3 linked regions of the Macaca mulatta genome follow. The protein of the gene in region 1 interacts with the protein of each later gene in a pairwise test. Links are inferred from orthologs where the notes say so. Each region holds a gene or a part of one and is shown in the gene's direction. Other genes may lie near its edges.

Region 1 (7,095 bases):
CATTTTTAGGAATAAAGTCCCTAAATTCTGTTGTTGCCATGAGGATGTTGAATTACTAGGTTGGTCATTTTACAAGGCATCACTTTATTTGCTGTATTCCCAGGTTGTTTTTTTTTTTCTTCAAAACACAGTCTCTGTCACCCAAGCTGGAGTGTACAGTGGCATGACCTCAGCTCACTACAACCTTTGTGTCCTGGGTTCAAGTGTTTCTCATGCCTCAGCCTCCCGAGTAGCTTGGGATTACAGGCGTGCGCCACCACACCCAGCTAATGTTTTGTATTTTTATTAGAGATGGGATTTTGCCATGTTGGCCAGGCCGGTCTTGAACTCCTGGCCTCAAGCCTACCAAACTGCTGAGATTCCAGGTGTGAGCCACTGTACCCAGCTCCAGGGTTTTTTGTTGTAATTTTTTCTTTTTTAAACCACACAGTACAAATATATCAATTTTATTTTATACAAAAAGGATCTGAGGTTAATGGCTTAATGTAAATGCTTGAAGCAGTCAGAGTTTAAATCAATATATTTCATTTTACAGAGTTAATTTCTTATTTCTTAAGGGACTTTAGTGTAATTTTCTTTTTTTCTTTTCTTTTGAGACATGGTCTTACTCTTTTGCCCAGGCTGGGGCACAGTGACATGATTATAGCTCACTGCAGCTTCAACTTCCTGGGCTCAAGCAATCCTCCCATCTCAGCTTCCCGTGTAGTTGGGACCAAAGGCTTGCACAACCATGCCTGGCTAATTTTTATTTATTTTTTTATAGAGACAAAGCCTTAGTATGTTGCCCTGGCTGGAAATTTTCACATTCAATAAATTTAATGGATAGGAGCTTTTTCTGAGTTTGATTAATATAATTGTTATATGCTTTACGTTCGTATAATCTTTCAGTGGGTTTTATTTATTTATGATTATCCATCAAAATTTCTCTCTGCTCCTGTTGGATTTTTGTACTTGCAATAGTTTTCAAAACAAATGCTTTTTATGATAAATTAATTTTTTAAAATGTAGGAAAACTGTATTATCACATCATATTTTGGATTTATAATCAACCCTACATTGATGTGATAACTCTTCAGCTGTAGAGGAATATGTCAGATAAAATGTTAAATGTGACTACAGGAAGCCAAATCTGGGGTCCTTTAGATATTTTGACACATTAAAAAATGTGTTACTTTTTTAAAAAACCTTCCATGAAGTTCATTCTAAGGAGTTTTCAAGCACGTAGTTTCTGCAAAGGGATTGCTGCAGAGAGAAGAGTTATTTACCAACCCCGTGGGGCTTTGTTTCTGTGCCTGCAGGGCCCGTGACTACTCTGCGCCGGTCAACTTCATCAGTGCAGGACTCAAGAAAGGGGCAGCGGAGGAGGCAGAGTTGGAAGATTCTGATGATGAAGAGAGACCTGTTAAGCAGGACGACTTTCCTAAGGATTTTGGACCAAGGAAGTTAAAAACGGTAGAGTCTTTATTGCAGGATTGTGACTCCAGTAATATCCTTCAAATGTCATTGTGGCCCAAGCATTTTCTAGCCAGGGAGAAACTTATCTGGAATGCATTTTGTGAGTATCTCCTTTTGGTGGCAGGCTTCTGTGAGTTGTGAAGTGCGTAGTGTAGTCTCTTCCTTCCTGACACGTATCACACACATTTTTGGTTCTTGTGACCCTTTTCATAGTGCTGTGTAACTTAGACCATTTTCCTGTTGGCCAAGCTTTCTTAGATTTTTCTTCTTTTTGTTTTTCCATTAACTAAGCTTTGATTTTTCTTCTTTGCAGGGTGGCAATTTTAAGCCCAGCCAGAAAGGTTTTGCAGGAGGAACCAAATCTTTCATGGACTTCGGCAGCTGGGAAAGACACACAAAAGGAATTGGACAGAAGCTTCTTCAGAAGATGGGCTACGTCCCTGGACGGGGCCTCGGGAAGAATGCACAAGGTATTGCACTTTGGTCGTCTTGTGTGATGGAGGGCAGGCAGAGGAAAGGAGAGGGGCATTGGGAGAGGAGGTTTGCTTTTCCCTTTTAAAAGCACTTTCACTCTCTCTAGCCTGGTTTGCCAGCACAAGACATTTGCACTCCTAAGCTACCTTGCTTTATCAAAGCTCAAGTTAAATAAGTAATTGTTTCAACAAGAAGAAAAGGGTTAGGGTGTAAAATAGGCTGCAAACAGGTTGGAGACAGGCTTTTTTTCTGGTCCTGACCAGCTACTCAGGAGGCTGAGGCAGGGGAATCGCTTGAACCCAGGAGGTGGGGGTTGCGGTGAGCCGAGATCACACCACTGCACTCCAGCCTGGGCAATAGAGTGAGACTCAGTCTCTAAATAAATAAATAAATAAATAGAATAAATAAAGACAAAAATGAATTAGTTGCTAATATTTAAAAAACAGACAATTTCACCTAAAATTCTAGATTTTGCCTGGCAGTAGTTAGTTGAGGCAAGTGAGAGCTGCTCCTGGGACAATGGACATGGTCTTCTCTTGGAGGCAGTCTCCACGGCCCCCTGTTGTCTTCCACCCCAACCCACAGGAACTTTTCTTGGTCCCGAAGTCATTTGAGTTTGCCATCCCTACTCACAAGGGTTTTAGTTTTGCAGAAACGGTTATTTGTCCTTCAGGAATATCAGTAAAACATTGTGTTTAGCTTTTTTAATAATTAGAGCCATATGGCTGTAAAATTGGCTGAGCAAATCCTTCATTGGTTACTTCCATCTTCGTCTAGTAGCCCAGTCTCCTCCTGTCTTCTCATGGCCAGCCTCACTGAGACACAGCCCCTGTCACACTCTTATCTTCTTGAGACCAAAGCCTCTCAAACCAAACACTTGGATTCTTCCTACAAGAACATTTCCCCTTCTTCTTGAGCTATATCCTATGCATGATTGCCAAGTAGATATAATCAAATGTGTCCTCCATATTCAAATTTGAGTCTCTAAATAATAATATTACTTTTTGAGACACAGTTTCACTCTTGTCGCTCAGACTGGAGTTCTATGGCACGATCTTGACTCACCTGCAACCGCCGCCTCCTGGTTCAAGCGATTTTCCTGCCTCAGCCTCCCGAGTAGCAGGGATTACAGGCAGCTGCCACCACACCCAGCTAATTTTTGTATTTTTGGTAGAGACGGGGTTTTACCATGTTGGCCAGGCTGGTCTCGAACTCCTGACCTCAAGTGATCCACCCTCCTTGGCCTCCCAAAGTGCTGGGATTATAGGTGTGAGCCACTGCGCCCGGCCTCTAAATAATTATTAAAGTGAAATCCAGGTTATGTGTTGAAAACATTAGGTACATGAAAAATACATGAACTTAAGCAAGGATACGCTGAATGAGAATGAGGGGACAGCTTTTTTCCTTTTTTTGATACAAGGTCTCACTCTGTTACCTAGGGTGGAGTGCAGTGGCATGGCATGATCATAGCCTACTGCCGTCTCAACCTCCTGGGCTCAAGCCTGCCGAGTAGCTGGGACGACAGGCACACTCTGCTATGCCTGGCTAATTTTTTCTTTTTTTGTAGATGGGGTCTTACTATGTTGCCCAGGCTGGTTCAAGACCTTGGCCTCCCAAAGTGCTAGGATTACAAGCATGAGCCACCATGCCTGGCCCAGGGATAGCTCTTATTTGAGACTTCAGCTGTACTAAATGGAAGGGAGGCAGGGATGGAAAATTTGGAGGGGGGGCAACATCTTCATTGAAATGTTGTGGTCCTATTCGTAAACTCTTTTATGAGAAAAGCAACATTTATTTCTAGGGCTTAAACTTGTTATAAAAAAGTTAAACATAGGAGATAGGAACTCCTAAGTAAAATACATGAGTCTTATATTAAATTACAGCTTCACTTCAGTCAGAGTCAATATAGTATCTGAATTATTGCATTTTCCCTAATAGAGGCTTCCAAAGAAGTGAAGTGTAGAATTTAGTATGCTGGAGTTCTCGGTTATAAATGTAGTGTTCTGTTTTCTTGTCCACTGAAACAATCCAAGTAGAAATGGAAATCTATTTGGGATATAAATAAACCAGTCAGCAGACTGTTCTGTGGTAGCATAAATGCTCATAAGTTTCAAATCACAAGGGACAAGAGTAGTGTTCTGAGGGCAGAGAATAGCTCTCCTTGAGTAGCGTGTTATTTTGTGGAAGGAGCAAGAAACTGTCATTTCACTGAGTGGCTGATTCACATACATGAATTGCTGTGATCATAAGACTGTCTTTTTTTTATCTTTTGCTGAAATTCCTCAGGTATCATTAACCCAATCGAAGCCAAGCAGAGAAAGGGAAAAGGTGCTGTGGGGGCTTATGGATCCGAGCGCACCACGCAGTCAATGCAAGACTTCCCTGTGGTTGACTCAGAGGAAGAAGCTGAAGAGGTAACTGGAAGTCAGGAGACATGGGTGGGTGGTGTCCTGTCCATTTCTAATGGCTGTTCATTTATCCCTTCATTCTGTTAGTCCTCAGATGTTTATTGTACACGTACCATATGCCAGGTGCTGGGCTGAAGGCTAGGTGCACCATGATGAGAGGGCGCACGGTGGACAGAGAGTAAACAAGCAGCTATGGTGTGGAAGTGGCAGTTGAAATGGCAGAAGGTGCTAGGACCTGCCTAGACAGAAAATAAGGTTGGGGGTTGGGAGGTGGTGTTGACCTACTTTTATAAATAGGCTGGTCAGGGAAACCTTTGAGGAAAGGAAACATTTCAGTTGAGACTTGGCAGAAGGGTGAGCTGAGAAGCCTGAGGACACTGAGAGGCTCTGAGCTTGCCGGTTAAGAAACCATAAAGGAAGCCGTTGTGGTGGGAGGGTGGTACACAAAGCAGAGGGGAAGGAAGTGCATTCAGAGGGGTGGGCGGGCCACAAGATGGGCCTTGACAGCCATTTTTAGGTGCTTGGGTTTCATCCCAAGTGCAGCAGGGAGCCATCTGCTGGCAGCTGTGTGTCCCTTTTCCCCAGTGATAGAAGGGGCCAGCTTTGTTGATTGAAGTATTACTCTTTTCCCATTTGAATTTATGGGGGAAAGCAGGATGCTGCAAAGAAACACGTTACTCTTCTTGTCACTGACCTTTTGATGACACAGTCATTTGATAATGTGGGATTGACCACTCTGAGTCAGGGGTTCTCAGACTTAGAAGCCTACAGGTGCCAGGCACACCACAGAAGCAAGTAAGATGAGCCAGATGCTAGACAATAAAGAGTGGTGGGGACTGTGGCACAGAGGTGAGGCCTTAGCCTGTCTAGAAGGTAAATCTTTATTCAGCTCTAGGTGATTGTTGCTTATGAGGATGTGGGCTTAGTATTGCCTGATCCTCTGATTTTCCCAAAGTAGCCAGATGTGTAGATACTTTTAGAGAAAAAAATGACAAGTCTTAACCAGTATGAGAAAAACATAATGACAACTCCAAAACCAACTTCTGTGGGCTGGATTCTACTACCATCACGCTAAGAAAGTTTACAAATTTGCGTTGGGCCGCATTCAAAGCCGTCCTGGGCTGCGGGTTGGACAAGCTTGCCGTAGCTCCTCCTGTAGCTACGGCAGGTACATTTTGCAGACCCTGATTATAAGAGATACCTTTGCTTTGAGAGTTAGGACCTGCTTATTTATCTTCATTTTAAAGTGAGAAACAAGATTTTGTGTACTTAAAAAAGCGTTTACATTGCATTTCTAAGTTTTATATGAGGTACATTTAAACTAGTATAGTGCCTGCCCATAGTAGATGCTCAATACATGTTGTTTCCTTTATTTTTGTTTCTCCCTCCCGTCTGGTGCACCTGCCTTCTGAACCTCATTATTTGTAAGAGGGTAAATGGGGTCAAGGAGTTATCATTAGATAGTTTTGGTGTCATGCAGGTGCATCCTTTCCTTCCTTCATATAGAACCTGGAAATAAATCTAAGACAGTGAATGGTGACATCTGTTAATGGTCTTAGCTGTCTCACCTGTTGTAAAAAGTGGTTTGCTGCATCTGACTGTATCCTTCTGGTTCAGGAGTTTCAGAAGGAGCTGAGCCAGTGGAGGAAAGACCCAAGTGGAAGCAAGAAGAAGCCCAAATACTCTTACAAGACCGTGGAAGAGTTGAAGGCCAAGGGCAGGATTAGCAAGAAGCTCACTGCTCCCCAGAAGGAGCTTTCTCAAGTCAAGGTATGGGGACCTTTGGACACCTGGTACAGGAGCCACACCCCAGAATTAATCACTGAACATGTTCTAGGGTTTTTTGGATCTTCTAGCTAGGCTTTTTTTTTTTTTCTTGTACCTTGCTTTTCTCACTTATTTTATAGGAGTGTAATGAATACTATTAATATCATGTTCCTATTCATTACACTCCCATATTTAGTAATAGTTACCAAGTTCCTTCTCTGCCAGGCACTCTTCACGGCACTACACTGGTAAACCAAATGATGTTCCTGTGTTTCTGGAGCTTACATCAGTGAATTCAGTAACATTCTTATTATTAAAAACTCACTGTGAAGATTTATAATGAGTGTAGAATTCCAGAGGGTGGCTGTCCTATATTGCTTGATCCTACCTCCGTTGTTAGGCATTTAGCTTTTATCTGGTTTAGTTTGGATTTTTGACTGGTTAGTTTGTATATAAAACTTCGTCTTTGTTTGAGACATTTTTTTAAGGATAGAGATGTACATGTGCAATCACCATGTTAAATACAAAAGTACTTAAGACATTCAAATACTCAGAAGGTTGTATTAACTCTGTCTGACCAGGAGGGCAGGAGAGAGTTCCCAGGGCTCCTTAGTCAGCATTGAGTATTTTCTTTTTTTAAGATACATTCAATTTTCACTCACTGTTACGTGCATATAGTGTATTACGTTTTCCATTACTTTTCCAAGTAGTCAAAGAACAATGGTGACAGTTGCCTGTTGTCATTTGCTGTAGGATATATAGTGTGTCATAGACCTCAAAGCCTTTAGTGGGGTTCTCAAACGTGTGCTGTTATATTATCTGGACGACCTGATAAGAAATACGGGCGTCTAGGTGCCTCCCAGGAATTTTGAGTCTAAACTGAACCTCAAGACTTTTTTTTTTTTTCCTCCTCCAGTGATTCTAATGCTGGTGGTTCATGGATCACACACTTACTTAAAAAGTGGTGATGAATCATTCTGCTTCAGAAGTG
Region 2 (7,872 bases), on another chromosome or scaffold:
TGCCACTGCAGCCTGGGCAACAGAGCGAGACTTTATCTCAAAAAAAAAAAAAAAAAAAAAAAAAAAAAAAAAAGGAGAAAGATCAAATGCCCACATTAAGGTTTAGAGTTGCATATGTAAAATAAGTTCACTCAACAAAGTTAGGTGTTTTCTCCAGCTAGAGTTAGCTGCAGAGGTATAGGCAAAGATTAAGCACATAGTTGGGTTTAATCAGGCTTGGGTTTTGCCAGGTGAGTATAGGGAGGTGCAAGGAAGTGGAAATAGTGCCAGAGTTTGTAATTTAAGCTGGTAAGAAAGGAAGTGAGGGCATGAGTGACAAAAGGACCAGTCGCCACACTAATAATAATAGTCGCCATACTAATAATTAGTCGCCACACTAATAATAACTGGTTCCTTCAATTTGCTTTACCATTAAGAGAAGTCTCTCAAAAGAGCTAATATTATCTCTTATAAATTTATTTATTATTATTATTATTTTTTAGACAGAGTTTCCCTCTTGTTGCCCAGGCTGGAGTGCAATGGCATGATCTTGGCTCACTGCAGCGTCTGCCTCCCTGGGTTCAAGCAATTCTCCTGCCTCAGCCTCCCTAGTAGCTGGGATTACAGGTGCCCGTCACCACGCCCGGCTAATTTTTGTATTTTTAGTAGAGATGGGGTTTTGCCATGTTGGCCAGTCTGGTCTCAAACTCCTGACCTCAGGTGATACACCTGCCTCGGCCTCCCAAATGCTGGGATTACAGGCGCAAGCCACCATGCCCGGCCATAAATTTATTTTTAATAATATCATACTAGTAAAATTATCAAGATTTGATTAAACTGAAATAGTATTTACACTATTATACTAGTATATTTATACTAGTAAAATTTATTTAATTTATTTAAATTGTAGTGTTTCATTTTAATCAAATCTTGATAATTAGAGCAATTTATAAATTTTTTTGCTACGTACTACAATTTCAAAAGGCAATTGACTTAATGAGCACCTGGGTTGTACCAAGAGTTTTTAATTTAAAACATCTTATTATGGAAAATTTCTACAAAAGTAGAGAGAATAGTGCAATCCCCCCATGTACCTATTAGCAGTTTCAGTAATTATTAACATTCTGCGTTCTTACTTCATCTAGTTTCCCTCTTTTTCCTTGAGTATTCTACAGCAAATTTTACAGGTATCGTAACATTTCACCTATAAATACTTGATATGGGCCAGGCGTGGTGGGTCACGCCTATAATCCCAGGGCTTTGGGAGGCCGTGGTGGCCGGAGGATCGCTTGAGCCCAGGAGTTCAAGACCAGCCTGGGCAAGATGGTGAAACCCAATCTCTACTAAAAATACACACACACACACAGAGTCAGGCAGATAAAGGAGAAAGAAGGTGATCTGAGGCCAAAGGGTCAAAATGAGCAATGGGACAAAGACAGATAAAAGTTCCAAGTGTTCAGGGATGCAGCCGTGGATAAAAGATTCTAGCTAGGCAGCAAAAAAGCCTAAGGAATTTAGGCTGAGATATTAAGGCTTTGTTTACAAAGTATAGGGGAGCCACAAACCACTATAGCCCAGAAATATCCACAAGGAAAACCCTTTGGTCATTCAGCCCCAACAGGCACTTAGGCCCTGATTATTTTGTTTAAACAATTTAGGCCGGGCGTGGTGGCTCACGCCTGTAATCCCAGCACTTTGGGGGGCTGAGGCGGGCGTATCATGAGATCAGGAGTTCGAGACCAGCCTGACCAACATGGTGAACTCCAGTCTCTACTAAAAATACAAAAATTAGCCGGGCATGGTGACACGCGCCTGTAATCCCAGCTACTCAGGAGCCTGAGGCAGGAGAATCGCTTGAACTCGGGAGGTGGAGGTTGTGGTAAGCCGAGATTGCGCCACTGCACTCCAGACCGGGAGACAGAGTAAGAGTCTGTCTCAAAGAAAAAAAAAAAAAGAAAAGAAAAACATTTGTGACGACTGATTTAGGCATTTATTCAGTGTCAGTATCATAGCCTGCAGGACAAACCTAGAGAGCATACAGCAGTATTATGTGGGAAGTCTCAACTATTAACAAAATATATAAAACCGCTATCCTACATTGAATCCCCAAATCTTCTAACATCTTGTTTTTTGTTTGTTTGTTTTTGTTTTGTTTGAGACTGAGTCTCGCTCTGTCACCGAGGTTGGAGTGCAGTGGGTGCGATCTTGGCTCACTGCCACCTTGGCTTCCCAGGTTCAGGCGATTCTCCTGCCTCAGCCTCCCGAGTAGCTGGGATCACAGGCGAGTAGCTGGGATCACAGGCGTGTGCCACCACGCCCGGCTAATTTTTTAATGGCCAGGCTGGTCTCGAAATCCTGACCTCAGGTGATCCAACTACCTTGGCCTCCCAAAGTGTTGGGATTACAGGCATGAGTCACCGCGCCCGGCCAATTCCCCTAACATCTTGTAGCCTCGGAGTCAAAGACCTTACTGGTTTTGATAGATACCATCACCACAACAGTCATCAATAAGCACATGAGTATACTAGATCAGGGCTGAGTTATAAAAATTTACCCAAGGAGGTGGTCCCCTAAAAGTAGATTTTTTCTTTCCCCCTGACAGGTCCATCAATAAAGTATCAAGAGATTATCGGCAATATTACAAATCACTGAAGTCTGTGTGGGGTTTTCTAGAAGCTGAGCCAATTATTTACTTAATTGTCTAACGATTAACGACACCCCTTCTGCTTTCTGGGCCTGCGTTTCGTAATCGATGACCTGAGAGGTATAAAGTAATTTCAAAAAAAAAAAAAAAACCACAAAAAACGAAAAACAACAAACCACCCCTCGGAACAGAGGCTTATCATGTGAGCACCCAGACAAGCCAGCTTCAAAATGAGGTGAAAACTACAGTTCCTCTTCCGTTTATCAGAGTTCTAACTGGGACCACCGTGAACCACATCTACTGCCCGAGGGGCAGGGACGGCTGCTTCAGTCCCCGGGCTTCCCGCTCGGTCCCTTCGCACCGCATCTCCCTGAGGCCGCTACTCCCGCCGCGCCCGCCCAGGGAACTGCCCCGCCAGCGTCGTACCCGCAGGTTGGCTCGGAGACCCAGACTCTTGGCTAAGTTCTGCAGGTCACTGTACTTGAGGGAGTCCAGCTCCTCTAGGGAGGGGATGATCATCGCGATTCAAAATCCCGGTGATACTCAGAAGATGGATCACCAAGTCTCGTAAGCGAGGTTCAAATCCCTGGCGCCACTCTTAACTTTGACTAAGCTGAAATTTATAGACAGTTTAAATGAAGAATGCCGCGCTTCCATTGGTTGAAAATGCCTCAAAGGCGGGGTTTCTAACCCTGACCAATAGAAAGGCTGATTTCCCGTCCCAACAGTCGCGCGCTTTTCTCACACTTCACGAATACGCAGGCGCCGAAGGGCCTGTAAGGCCGGTTCAGGTAACGAGTGCGCGGACTGGGACTCCAGTGCTTGGATTGCCCACGATGTCCAATGAGGACGCAGGAGCTGTGCTTGGGGCGGGGCCTGGCGTGTATTCGAAACGACGGCGCCGGCTGAGAGAAGATGGCGTTTCAGCCGCGGCGGCATCGCTCCCCTTGTGCAACGCCGCCCCAGGGTGACTTTTGTGATGGCACTGAGAGGGCGATTGACGAAGCATCTTTTACGACCTCCATGGAGTGGGATACACAGGTGGTGAAGGGGTCCTCGCCGCTCGGCCCCGCAGGGCTGGGGGCTGAGGAGCCGGCCGCCGTCTCGCAGCTGCCGTCTTGGCTGCAGCCTGAGAGGTGCGCTGTTTTCCAGTGCGCACAATGCCACGCCGTGCTCGCCGACTCGGTGCACCTCGCCTGGGACCTGTCGCGGTCCCTTGGGGCCGTGGTCTTCTCCAGTGAGTGCAGTGAGGCGTTCGGGAAAGGCAGAGGCTAGCCCGAGAGGTTGTTCCCGCCTTCTCCACCGGGTGGCAGAGAACCACCTGGGGAAGAAAACGGAATGAAAATTTGGAAGCACATAACTCCTTGGCCTGGGGATGGGGCAGGGAACTGGGGAGTCTCCTGACATTTATGGCGGGGATGAGTCTGTCTAGAGGAGAGATTTTCCATTTCAAGGCCCGCAGAGTATGAGTTCTGACCCGTGTTTGTGTTCCTAGGAGTTACAAATAACGTCGTTTTGGAAGCGCCCTTCCTAGTTGGCATTGAAGGTTCACTCAAAGGCAGGTACGTATTGATAATTACAGATTGGTCTCTAGTCCCTGACTTTATGAGACTGAGGAGCGTGGAACTGACATGTACTTGTTGAGCAAGTCTGTTGACAGCATTTCCTTTTTTTTTGTTGGTTTGATTTTTTTCTTTTTGAGATGGAGCCTCACTCTGTTGCCCAGGCTGGAGTGCGGTGGCGCGATCTCGGCTCACTGCAAGCTCTGCCTCCCAGGTTCACACCATTCTGCCTCAGCCTCCCGAGTAGCTGGGAAGGCATGTGAAGTCATGCCAAATTGTGAATATGAAGAAAAAAATGGGGCCGGGCGCGGTGGCTCACGCTTGTAATCCCAGCACTTTGGGAGGCTGAGGTGGGTGGATCACATGAGGTCAGGAGTTCAAGACCAACCTGACCAACATGGTGAACCCCCGTCTCTACTAAAAATACAAAATTAGCCGGGCATGGTGGCACACACCTGTAATTCCAGCTCTTTGGGAGGCTGAGGCAGGAGAATCACTTGAACCCGGGAGGCAGAGGTTGCAGTGCACTGAGAACACACCATTGCACTCCAGCTTGGGCAGCAAGAGCAAAACTCCATCAAACAAACAAATACATGGAAATTAAAAGTGCTACTCCAGTTATAAGCTGATATGGAGGAAGTTTGAGTGGTATGAGTAGAAGATCAAACCAGCCACAGCATTCCTTTAAACCAAAGCCTAATCCAGAACAAGGCCCTAACTCTCTTCAATTCTGTGAAGGCTGAGAGGTGAGGAAGCTGCAGAAGTTTGAAAGTAGCAAATGTTGGCTAGGTGCAATGGCTCATGCCTGTAGCCCCAGCACTTTGGGAGGCCGAGGTGGGTGGATTGCTTGAACCCAGGAGTTTGAGACCAGCCTGGGCAACATGGTGAAATGCTGTCTCTACAAAATACAAAACAATTTAGCCGGATGTGGTGGTGCACACCTATAGTCCCAGCTGCTTGGGAGGCTGAGAAGGAAGGCTGGCTTGAGCCATAGAGGTCGAGGCTACAGTGGAGCTGTGATTGTGCCACCACACTCCAGCCGGGGTGACAGAGCAAGACTATCTAAAAAAAAAAACAGAGGTTGGTTCTTGAGATTTAAGGAAAGAAACCTTCTCTATAACAAAAGTCCAAAGTGAAACAGCAAGTACTGATGCAGAAGCTGCAGAAAATGAAAGTGGGTACACTAAACAACAGATTTTCAGTGCAGATGAAACAGCCTTCTATTGGAAGAAGATGCCATCTCAGACTTTCATAGGTAGAAAGGACAAGTATTACCTGGCTTGAAAGGAGCTGGTCACAGTGACTCACACGTGTAATCCCAGCACTTTGGGAGACCAAGGTGGGAGGATTGCTTGAGCATAGGAGTTCAAGACCAGCCTGGGCAACATAGCAAGAACCGATCTCTACAAAACATTTAAAAATTAGATGGGCATTATAGTGTGCACCTGTGGTCCAGCTAATTGGAAGGCTGAGGTGGGAGGATCACTTGAGTCTGGGATGTCAAGGCTGTAGTGAGCTGTGATGGTACCACTGTACTCCATCCAAAAAAAAGAAAAAAAAAAGCTTCAAAGGACAGGCTTTCTCTCTTGTTAGGGGCCAATGCAGCTGATGACTTTAAGTTGAAGTCAATGCTCATTTACTGTTACTATCTATAGCTACTATAGATAGTTATTCCTCTGATGGATATGGGCAAAGTAAATTGAAAACCTTCTGGAAACCCAGCTAAATTTTGTATTTTTAGTAGAGACGGAGTTTCACCATGTTGACCAGGCTGTTCTCAAACTCCTGGTCTCAGGTGATCTGCTCGCCTCCCAAAATGCTCAGATTATAAGCGTGAGCCATTGCGCCCGGCCCAGTAAATTAATTTCCACTGACACATTTGTTTATAAGTACTGTGCTTTGTCTGAACTAATTAATTCCTACGTGGAATTTCAAATTAATGACACTTTATTTCACAGTTTGCTTTTTGGTTACCTATATTCACAAGATTACTATATGTGTGGTGTGGGACTTCATTTACCAATAAACCTAATATATTTTGTTATTTGTTCTTTTTTAGTATCCATTGACATGAATATTTCTTTTTAGCTATGTGTTTTTTGTTTTTTTTTTTTCTTTTTTAAGACGGAGTTTTGCTCTTGTCGCCCAGGCTGGAGTGCAATGGCACAATCTCCGCTCACTGCAACCTCCGCCTCCCCGGTTCAAGCGATTCTCCTGCCTCACCCTCCTGAGTAGCTGGGATTACAGGCACCCACCACCATGCCTGGCTAATTTTTGTATTTTTAGTAGAGACAGGGTTTCACCATGTTGGCCAGGCTGGTCTTGAACTCCTGACCTCTGGTGATCCACCTGCCTTGGCCTCCCAAAGTGCTGGGATTACAGGCATAAGCCATCATGCCCGGGCTAGCTATGTGATTTTTATGTTGTATTTTGTTAATAGAATTCTGCTAGCCTGGGAAGTAAGACCCCATTTCTTCCAAAAAAAATTAGTAGGGCATGGTAGCATGCACCTGTAATCCCAGCTTTGGGAAGCTGAGGCAGGTGGATCAGTTGAGCCCAGGAATTCAAGGCTGCAGGGAGCTATGATTGTACCACTATGTTCTGACCTGGGCAACAGAACAAGAACCTGTCTTAAAAAAAAAAAAAAAAATTCTTCATAGCATACTCTATATTAATATAATTAATTTTTCCTTTACCAAAGCACTTTAAAATTGCCTTTAGCACATGCATGATGAAATACTTTCTTAAAGTGCTTTTCTTTTAGAAAATTTTTTTGGCTGGGCGCGGTGGCTCACGCCTGTAATCCCAGCACTTTGGGAGGCCGAGGCGGGCGGATCACAAGGTCAGGAGATCGAGACCACGGTGAAACCCCGTCTCTACTAAAAATACAAAAAATTAGCCGGGCGCGGTGGCGGGCGCCTGTAGTCCCAGCTACTCAGGAGGCTGAGGCAGGAGAATGGAGTAAACCCAGGAGGCGGAGCTTGCAGTGAGCCGAGATCGCGCCACTGCACTCCAGCCTGGGCGACAGAGCGAGACTCCGTCTCAAAAAAAAAAAAAAAAAAAGAAAAAATTTTAATTTTATTTTGAGACGGAGTGTTGCTTTGTTGCCCAGGCTGGAGTGCAGTGGCACTATCTCGGTTCACTGCAAGCTCCGCCTCTTGGGTTCACACCATTCTCCTGCCTCAGCCTCCCGAGTAGCTGGGACTACAGGCGCCCGCCACCACACCTAGCTATTTTTTAATATTTTTAATAGAGACGGGATTTCACCATGTTAGCCAGGATGGTCTTGATCTCCTGACCTCGTGATCTGCCAGCCTCGGCCTCCCAAAGTACTGGGATTACAAGCGTGAGCCACCGTGCCTGGGCTGTTTATTTATTTTTTAAGACGGGGTTTTACCATGTTGCCTAGGCTGATCTTGAATTCCTGGGCTCTAGCTATCTGCCCACTTTGGCCTCTGAAAGTGCTGCGATTACAGTAGGTGTGAACCACTGTGCCTGACCAAAATGTTCCTGTTTAATATTTAAATATGTCTTATATACCAGCAAATATGATGACTTGCTCAAGAATTGTAATGAGAACTAAAATCAACATCTGACTCTTCATCAGTAATCTTTTCAGAGGATAAGGAAAGCAAAATAGATGGCTTGCTAGGGTAATGGGATTCCTTTTTCTTTCTCTTTTAGTCT
Region 3 (7,557 bases), on another chromosome or scaffold:
TGCCGGAAGCTGCGAGGAGACGAGGCCCACAGGCGCAGAGGGGAGCCTCCCCGGGAATACGCACTGCCCTTTGGCTGGTGCAGGTTCAACCTCAGGTACATACGGGCAGGGTCATGCCTTTCCCCTACTGTTTTCCCCCTGGAGAAATGGAGATCCCAAGAAGGTGCATGGAAGAAGTGATAGAACTTCCTGCCTAAGGAAGAGCCTCGTGAAGCTCCTCCACTGGGGAGCCAGTGTCCTTCGTTCTATCTGCCCTGCTTGTCCACCTCGTAGAGTGAATCCCCGCCTGGAGGCTGGGACACTAACCAAGAAGTGGCACATGGCCTATCATGGGAGCAATGTTGCAGCTGTACGGAGAGTGCTGGACCGAGGGGAGCTGGGAGCAGGTACTGGGGAGCAGGCCCATGCAAGGTGGGCTGAGCCTGGGGGGCTGTGGAGGAATAAAAAGGGCTATCTTGACCCAGTTCTCCTCCCAGGTACTGCTTCCATCCTGAGCTGCCGTCCTTTGAAGGGAGAGCCTGGGGTAGGGTTCGAGGAGCCTGGCGAGAACTGTGCACCTCCTCGGGAGGAGCAGCCCCCTCCTGTGCTGCTTTCCCCCTCCCTTCAATATGCTGGGGCCGAGACCCTGGCCTCCAAAGTGCAGTGAGTACTGGGAGGGGTGGGGAGAGATCTCCAGGGGCTCGGATGAAGAGGGCCTGAGCGCAGCCACTGGGGTCTTCATGATTTGCCCTCCCCTTTTCTCACCTCCTCTTGCTAGCTGCCAGTCTCCAACTCAGCCCTTTTTTCATTCATTGAACAAATACCACTTATATACTCTTCTAGTGGGCAAGAAAAGGAACCTTGCTCTTGTGGAACCTCTGCCTTTTCTCTCTATAATGTTCATACATAATAAGTATTTATTATTTATTTATTTATTTTTGAGACGGAGTCCTGCTCTGTCATCCAGGCTGGAGTGCAGTGGCATGATCTCGGCTCATTGCAACCTCCACCTCCCGGGTTCAAGCGATTCTCCTGCCTCATTCTCCTGAGTAGCTGGGACTACAGGCGTGTGCCACCAAGCCCGGCTAATTTTTCTAGTAGAGATAGGGTTTTGCCATGTTGGCCAGGCTGGTCTCGATCTCCTGACCTCGTGAGCCACCCGCCTCAGCCTCCCAAAGCGCTGGGATTACAGGCGTGAGCCACCGTGCCCGGCCAGTATTTAGTATTTTTAAAGGTAATAAGTAAGGACTATGGAAACAAAGAGTGGGGCGAAGGAGACAGCAGTGTGGCTGGTGTGGGCATCGTAAGAAAGAGTGGGGCGAAGGAGACAGCAGTGTGGCTGGTGTGGGCATCATAAGAAAGAGTGGGGCGAAGGAGACAGAAGTGTGGCTGGTGTGGGCATCATAAGAAAGAGTGGGGCGAAGGAGACAGCAGTGTGGCTGGTGTGGGCATCGTAGGAAAGAGTGGGGCGAAGGAGACAGCAGTGTGGCTGGTGTGGGCATCGTAGGAAAGAGTGGGGCGAAGGAGACAGCAGTGTGGTTGGTGTGGGCATCGTAGGAAAGAGGGGGGCGAAGGAGACAGCAGTGTGGCTGGTGTGGGCATCGTAGGAAAGAGGGGGGCGAAGGAGACAGCAGTGTGGCTGGTGTGGGCATCGTAGGAAAGAGTGGGGCGAAGGAGACAGCAGTGTGGCTGGTGTGGGCATCGTAGGAAAGAGTGGGGCGAAGGAGACAGCAGTGTGGTTGGTGTGGGCATCGTAGGAAAGAGGGGGGCGAAGGAGACAGCAGTGTGGCTGGTGTGGGCATCGTAGGAAAGAGTGGGGCGAAGGAGACAGCAGTGTGGTTGGTGTGGGCATCGTAGGAAAGAGTGGGGCGAAGGAGACAGCAGTGTGGCTGGTGTGGGCATCGTAGGAAAGAGGGGGGCGAAGGAGACAGCAGTGTGGCTGGTGTGGGCATCGTAGGAAAGAGGGGGGCGAAGGAGACAGCAGTGTGGCTGGTGTGGGCATCGTAAGAAGGTGGGAGAGATTCGAGCAAAGGCTTGAAGAAGGAAGTGAAGGGTGTAGCTGAGCAGGCTTTGGGAGGAAGAACATTTCAGGTAGAAAGAACAGCTAGAGTGAAGCTCCTATAAGGCGGGAGTATTTCCTAGGTACAGCAAGGCTTGTGTGGTTGGAACAGACTTTGCAAGGGGGAGGTGATGGGGAGAGAAGCTTCACTCCCTTATTTTTTCCTGTTTGACAGATTCCGGGACCCCAAATCCCAGCGGACGCACCAGGCTCAGGTGGCGTTCCAGGTGTGTGTGCGCCCTGGCTCCTACACCCCGGGACCCCCTTCCGCTGCCCTTGGAGAACCTCCTGACCCTCACTTCAGTCCAGCCGAACTTGAGTGGGTCACTAAGGAGAAGGGGGCCACACTCCTCTATGCCCTGCTGGTACGGGTGGAATGAGGGGTGACACACAAATACTACAAGCACAGTCGGGCCTCGGGCCCATGGACTCTGGCGACTGCCTCCACCTCATTCCCGTGACTCGTGGCATGCGCAGGTGCTGGAGCTTGGCAGCCGCGCAGGAGCATGTAGGCAGGCTCTCAGATGTAGGTGGCAAGTGGCACAGCTCCATGTCTGGAGGCCCAGCACTCCGTCTGATGGGAGGAGCCGTGGGAGCCCAGCTCCAGGCCCTGGTACCCCTCTTCATGCACTGATTTGGGGAACATGACTCCCTTTTACTCCCCTTCCCCACATCACTTAATTTATTTCCGTTTTTGTTTCTGGTTACTGTGAATCCCAGAGGAGTCTCTCCCTGTGCCCACATGAAGCTGCTTTTTCCGGGGCCACCGGGCAGGAGTGGGGAAGGGTGGGCGCACGGAAGATGGGGGCCTCTGTACAGTTGTTACTGACTCTGATTTCTAAGGAGCCAATAAACACCGTCTCAGAGCCTCCGCCTCGGCCTCTCTCTCGCGCGCCCCTCCCCGGAGCCCGCGTCCCCTGGGGTGCCACCAGGTGGGCCCGCGAAATTAAAGAGAGCTGAGGATGCCAAGACCAGTTTACAGCCCTCGTCGCCCGCGTTCCCGGCTACGGGGTTTGGACGCCGCGGGCACCCGTCGCAGCGCGCTTCCGCTTTCTTTCACCCAACCCGTGAGGTCGGCCGCAGCCGTGACTCCGGAAGGACTTGGCCGGGCCGCCGGATGTGACGTACGGGCCAGGGCGCGCCGGAGCTGCTGAGAAAGCGCAGAGAAGGCGGGTAGGGAGGGCTGGCGTCCGGGCTGGCTGGGCAGGGAGCGGCAGCACCGAGTCGGGGATCCCGGCGCCGCCCGTGCGCGCGGTGGAGCGGGGGCTGCGGGCCCGGCCGGGTGGCGGGCTCCTGGGACACGTGACCGGGGCGGCTAGCGGGTCGGGCGGACGGGCTTCCGCCTGGGCCGGGCGCGGTCCCCTCTGAGCGCCCGCCTCCCCGCAGGCGCCGTCTGAGGTCTGGCAGTCAGAGACAGAGCCGGGCGCCCACGGCCCGAGCGCCCACGGCAGCACCATGCCCGCACTCCTGGAGCGCCCCAAGCTTTCCAACGCCATGGCCAGGGCGCTGCACCGGCACATTATGATGGAGCGGGAGCGCAAGCGGCAGGGTGAGCCGGGGCCATAGCGGGGGGACACACGGCCCAGAATGGCTCCTGTACCTCAGGGTTGGCCTCAACCCAGCGGCCAACCAGTGAGCCCGCTGCCGAGCGCAGAGGAGGGAAGGAATAGCCCCGTTGTGGTGGGATTTAAGCGTCCTGGTCCACGCTCCAGAACCCTTGAGACGGGAAGGACCTTGGAGAGCACCTGATAAAGCCTCTCCGTTCCCTATTGCAGCGATGGGGGAGCTTGTCCCCTCGAGGCAAAGAGCGCACAGGCGTGTTGGGATGACTGGGTTTTGCTGGTCTTCAATCTAACGTTGGAACTGTTTTCACTACCCTGCCTCTTCTTCATTCTGCCTGATTCTCCAGAGGAAGAAGAGGTGGATAAGATGATGGAACAGAAGATGAAGGAAGAACAGGAGAGAAGGAAGAAAAAGGAGATGGAAGAGAGAATGTCACTAGAGGAGACCAAGGAACAAGTAAGCAGTCCCTTGAACTCTCCCAGCTTTGATTTCTTCCCTTGACTCTCCCTGCCTTCATCTTCTCTTCCCACTCCCTCCCAGATTCTGAAGTTGGAGGAGAAGCTTTTGGCCCTACAGGAAGAGAAGCATCAGCTTTTCCTGCAGCTCAAGAAAGTTTTACATGAGGAAGAAAAACGGAGGCGAAAGGAACAGAGGTGGGATCAGAGTGCTAAAAACTGAAATGGGGGCCAAGTGGAACTGGGATCAAGTAATAAAAGAACTAGTGTTTAATGGCGAAAGAGAAGGCATCTGTCCTTAGCTTTGACCTGCCTTCCTCTCACTCCAGTGACCTGACCACCCTGACATCAGCTGCATACCAGCAGAGCCTGACTGTCCACACAGGAACTCATCTCCTCAGCATGCAGGGTGAGGACTAAAGAGACCACCTGATGGAACCGGCCTTCTTACAGGTTGCAGCCTCCCATTTCAGCATCATGAAGCCCTTCTCCCTTTCTAGGGAGCCCTGGAGGACACAATCGCCCAGGCACCCTCATGGCAGCTGACAGAGCCAAACAAATGTTTGGACCCCAAGTGCTTACGGTGAGAGTAGGATTGGATGCCCAGCCCCTACTGCTTCCATCCATGCATCCTTGCCACCAGTATTCAAGTCACAAACATATCAAGCACTTAAGTTTAGGGGGAAATGCGGCATACAGATATACACAAGTCACTGGGTTTCAGCTTTCAAGTTTATAGGCGAATTCTCATTCTCCCTCCTTAGACCCGGCACTATGTGGGCTCAGCAGCTGCTTTTGCGGGGACACCAGAGCATGGACAATTCCAAGGCAGTCCTGGTGGTGCCTATGGGACTGCTCAGCCCCCACCTCACTATGGGCCCACACAGCCAGCTTATAGTCCTAGTCAGCAGCTCAGAGGTGAGTAATAGGAGGGATGGGGCTTGGCCTTCCTCAACGTCAAAGGAGGAATGCCATTGAGTAAAAGGTTTTAATGGCTCTGTCTTTTCCTTTCTCAGCTCCTTCAGCATTCCCTACAGTGCAGTACCTATCTCAGCCACAGCCACAGCCCTATGCCGTGCACGGCCACTTTCAGCCCACTCAGACAGGTGATAACATCCCATGCAGGAGCTCTAGCTCTCTGGGTCCTCCCCTCCCTGTTTCATTCTCATCTCACATGCCCCTCTTCCCCACGTAGGTTTCCTCCAGCCTGGTGGTGCCCTGTCCTTGCAAAAGCAGATGGAACATGCTAACCAGCAGACTGGCTTCTCCGACTCAGTGAGTATGGCACCTTGGGAGGTCAGGGTTAGGGATATGTTAAGGGGAGCTTCAGTATGCCTCAGGCCCTGACTCTGTTCTCTGCAGTCCTCTCTGCGCCCCATGCACCCCCAGGCTCTGCATCCAGCCCCTGGACTCCTTGCTTCCCCACAGCTCCCTGTGCAGATGCAACCAGCAGGAAAGGTAAGAATGATAATAAAGTTTACCTGTCAGAATCCTTACACTAGGGATCCAGAAAAGCAGGATTAGGTAGGACCGGTGGCCCACATCACCTGGTTTTTCTTCCTCTCTGGGGGTGGTTACCAGTAGGGCATTAAGTGGGAGAGTACGCCCAGTGACAAAGCCCTCTTTTCATCACCACCGCCAGTCGGGCTTTGCAGCTACCAGCCAACCTGGCCCTCGGCTCCCCTTCATCCAACACAGCCAGAACCCGCGATTCTACCACAAGTGACGATCAGATTATATCTTCAACATCATGCCCCCTGCCCCACTGTGGGTGAGGATACCCCCCGTGTGTCCCAGGCCAATAAAATCTACCTGCCACTGACCCTGGCTGCTGCTGTTTGTGTTGCCTCCCACCCAACTGTCTGGAATAGGTCAAGGCTGCTTGGGGGGTGGGGGGATGACTGGCAGGTCCACAGCAAGTCAGTGATAGACAGCGGGTTCCATGAACTCAGTGGCAGAGTTCAGTCTTTTTGTAGCTTCCAAATATACCCATTTAATTCAAATAAGCAGCTGAGTTGGGGGCTTCATATTAAACTTGTAGTTTTATTCAGGTTTGATTTTAACAAATGTGTCGGGGAGAGAGCCCGCAGGGAAGGGTAAAGCCCACGGGGGCAGGGCCCTCCCAGATGCCTGAGGAGGGGGCAGGTCCCCTCCCCTCTCCTCCTCTTCCCTCCCCATCTAAAGGGGTTTGGGGAGAGACACAGGCAGGGGAGGGGGCTGGTCCCCAGTCTGTTGGGGTGGTGCTCAGGGTAAAGGGCTATGGGCAACAGGGGACCAGACCAGGGCTGAGTGGGGAGGGCACAAGGACCATTTGCCAGAATCCACCACTTTGATTCCAGATTGAATTTAAAAAAAAAAAAAAAAAAAAAAAAAAAAAAAAAAAAAAAGACTAAACCACAAGCAGCACCCACCCCCTTCTCCCCCACCAGGGCTGTAGTGTGAGGGGAGAAGAGGAGGGCAGCTTCACCAAGGCCACGGCTTCGCTTGCTCCTGGCCAAGGGAGCTAGGTGAAGGGGAGGGGCTCCCCGACAGATTGAAGGGGTGGGGAAAACCAAAATAAAACGTCAAATAAATTTGTGTAGGAGGAGTCCAGCCTACAACCAGGCCAGAGCCGGGCCAGGCTGGGGGAGGGGGCCTCTGCAGGTTCAGAGGATCACTGCTGCCACCATCGCCACCCTAGGTAGGAGAGAGAAATTAGTAAGATAGGATAATACCTTCAACGGGAAGGATAGGGAGGACAAGGCCAGGCTAGGGGCACAAAGTAAGCCTGGAACAATTAAGACTAGAGCAGATCTGCTGAGGACAACAAAATGTGAAGGGGACAGTGAGGGATTTGTCACACTCACCTGGGAGCCAGTTATTTTGCCATGGCCTTGATTGCAACAGCTGCCTCCTCTGTCATGGCAGACAGCACCGTGATCTGGAGGAGCAAGAGAGAGAGCCAGGAGATGTCTGAGCTCAGGAAGAAACGTACAGAACAAAGCTGAGCACAAAAGCAGGGAGGGGGCCGGGCGTGGTGGCTCACGCCTGTAATCCCAGCACTTTGGGAGGCCAAGGTGGACAGATCACGAGGTCAGAAAATCAAGACCATCCTGGCTAACATGGTGAAACCCTGTCTCTACTAAAAATACAAAAAATTAGCCGGGTGTGGTGGCGGGCTCCTGTAGTCCCAGCTACTCAGAAGGCTGAGGCAGGAGAACGGCGAGAACCCGGGAGGCAGAGCTTGCAGTGAGTCGAGATCGCGCCACTGCACTCTAGCCTGGGCAACAGAACAAGACTCCATCTCCAAAAAAAAAAAAGAAAAGAAAAAGCAGGGAGGCACCATACCAGGATCTCTTCTCCACAGTCGTACTTCTGCTCAATCTCCTTGCCAAGGTCTCCCTCAGGGAGACGAAGGTCCTCTCGTACCTCCCCACTGTCCTGGAGCAGTGATAGGTACCCATCCTGGATGCCAATCAGCTGGGGGCAGATAGGGAAGGAAGCTGAAGGTAGTAGGCCCAG

Evidence for each region.
Region 2: the proteins of TFIP11 (region 1) and OIP5 interact in binary tests that used the Homo sapiens proteins (3 or more experiments, as listed by UniProt). The two-hybrid records come from large-scale screens. The link is inferred for Macaca mulatta from reciprocal best matches to the Homo sapiens genes TFIP11 and OIP5.
Region 3: the proteins of TFIP11 (region 1) and GPS2 interact in binary tests that used the Homo sapiens proteins (3 or more experiments, as listed by UniProt). The two-hybrid records come from large-scale screens. The link is inferred for Macaca mulatta from reciprocal best matches to the Homo sapiens genes TFIP11 and GPS2.

The regions. Positions count from the first base shown.
Region 1 is NC_133415.1:25,050,311-25,057,405, forward strand, and holds part of TFIP11 (tuftelin-interacting protein 11), read left to right. Parts: intron 1-1,298; coding exon 1,299-1,452; intron 1,453-1,768; coding exon 1,769-1,925; intron 1,926-4,215; coding exon 4,216-4,343; intron 4,344-5,204; exon of another isoform or gene 5,205-5,954; coding exon 5,955-6,107; exon of another isoform or gene 6,108-7,095. UniProt on the Homo sapiens protein: Involved in pre-mRNA splicing, specifically in spliceosome disassembly during late-stage splicing events. Intron turnover seems to proceed through reactions in two lariat-intron associated complexes termed Intron Large (IL) and Intron Small (IS).
Region 2 is NC_133412.1:18,675,820-18,683,691, reverse strand, and holds the start of OIP5 (protein Mis18-beta), read left to right. Parts: upstream 1-3,491; 5' UTR 3,492-3,538; coding exon 3,539-3,860; exon of another isoform or gene 3,861-3,944; intron 3,945-4,118; coding exon 4,119-4,185; intron 4,186-7,872. Other genes in the region: NUSAP1 (nucleolar and spindle-associated protein 1), read right to left, coding at 3,050-3,142. UniProt on the Homo sapiens protein: Required for recruitment of CENPA to centromeres and normal chromosome segregation during mitosis.
Region 3 is NC_133421.1:8,804,745-8,812,301, reverse strand, and holds GPS2 (G protein pathway suppressor 2), read left to right. Parts: upstream 1-3,176; 5' UTR 3,177-3,283; intron 3,284-3,424; 5' UTR 3,425-3,493; coding exon 3,494-3,587; intron 3,588-3,947; coding exon 3,948-4,057; intron 4,058-4,141; coding exon 4,142-4,254; intron 4,255-4,385; coding exon 4,386-4,465; intron 4,466-4,556; coding exon 4,557-4,639; intron 4,640-4,820; coding exon 4,821-4,974; intron 4,975-5,072; coding exon 5,073-5,162; intron 5,163-5,251; coding exon 5,252-5,331; intron 5,332-5,418; coding exon 5,419-5,514; intron 5,515-5,698; coding exon 5,699-5,782; 3' UTR 5,783-5,878; downstream 5,879-7,557. Other genes in the region: NEURL4 (neuralized-like protein 4), read left to right, coding at 1-95, 274-386, 477-642, 2,214-2,418; EIF5A (eukaryotic translation initiation factor 5A-1), read right to left, coding at 6,914-6,976, 7,384-7,515. UniProt on the Homo sapiens protein: Key regulator of inflammation, lipid metabolism and mitochondrion homeostasis that acts by inhibiting the activity of the ubiquitin-conjugating enzyme UBE2N/Ubc13, thereby inhibiting 'Lys-63'-linked ubiquitination.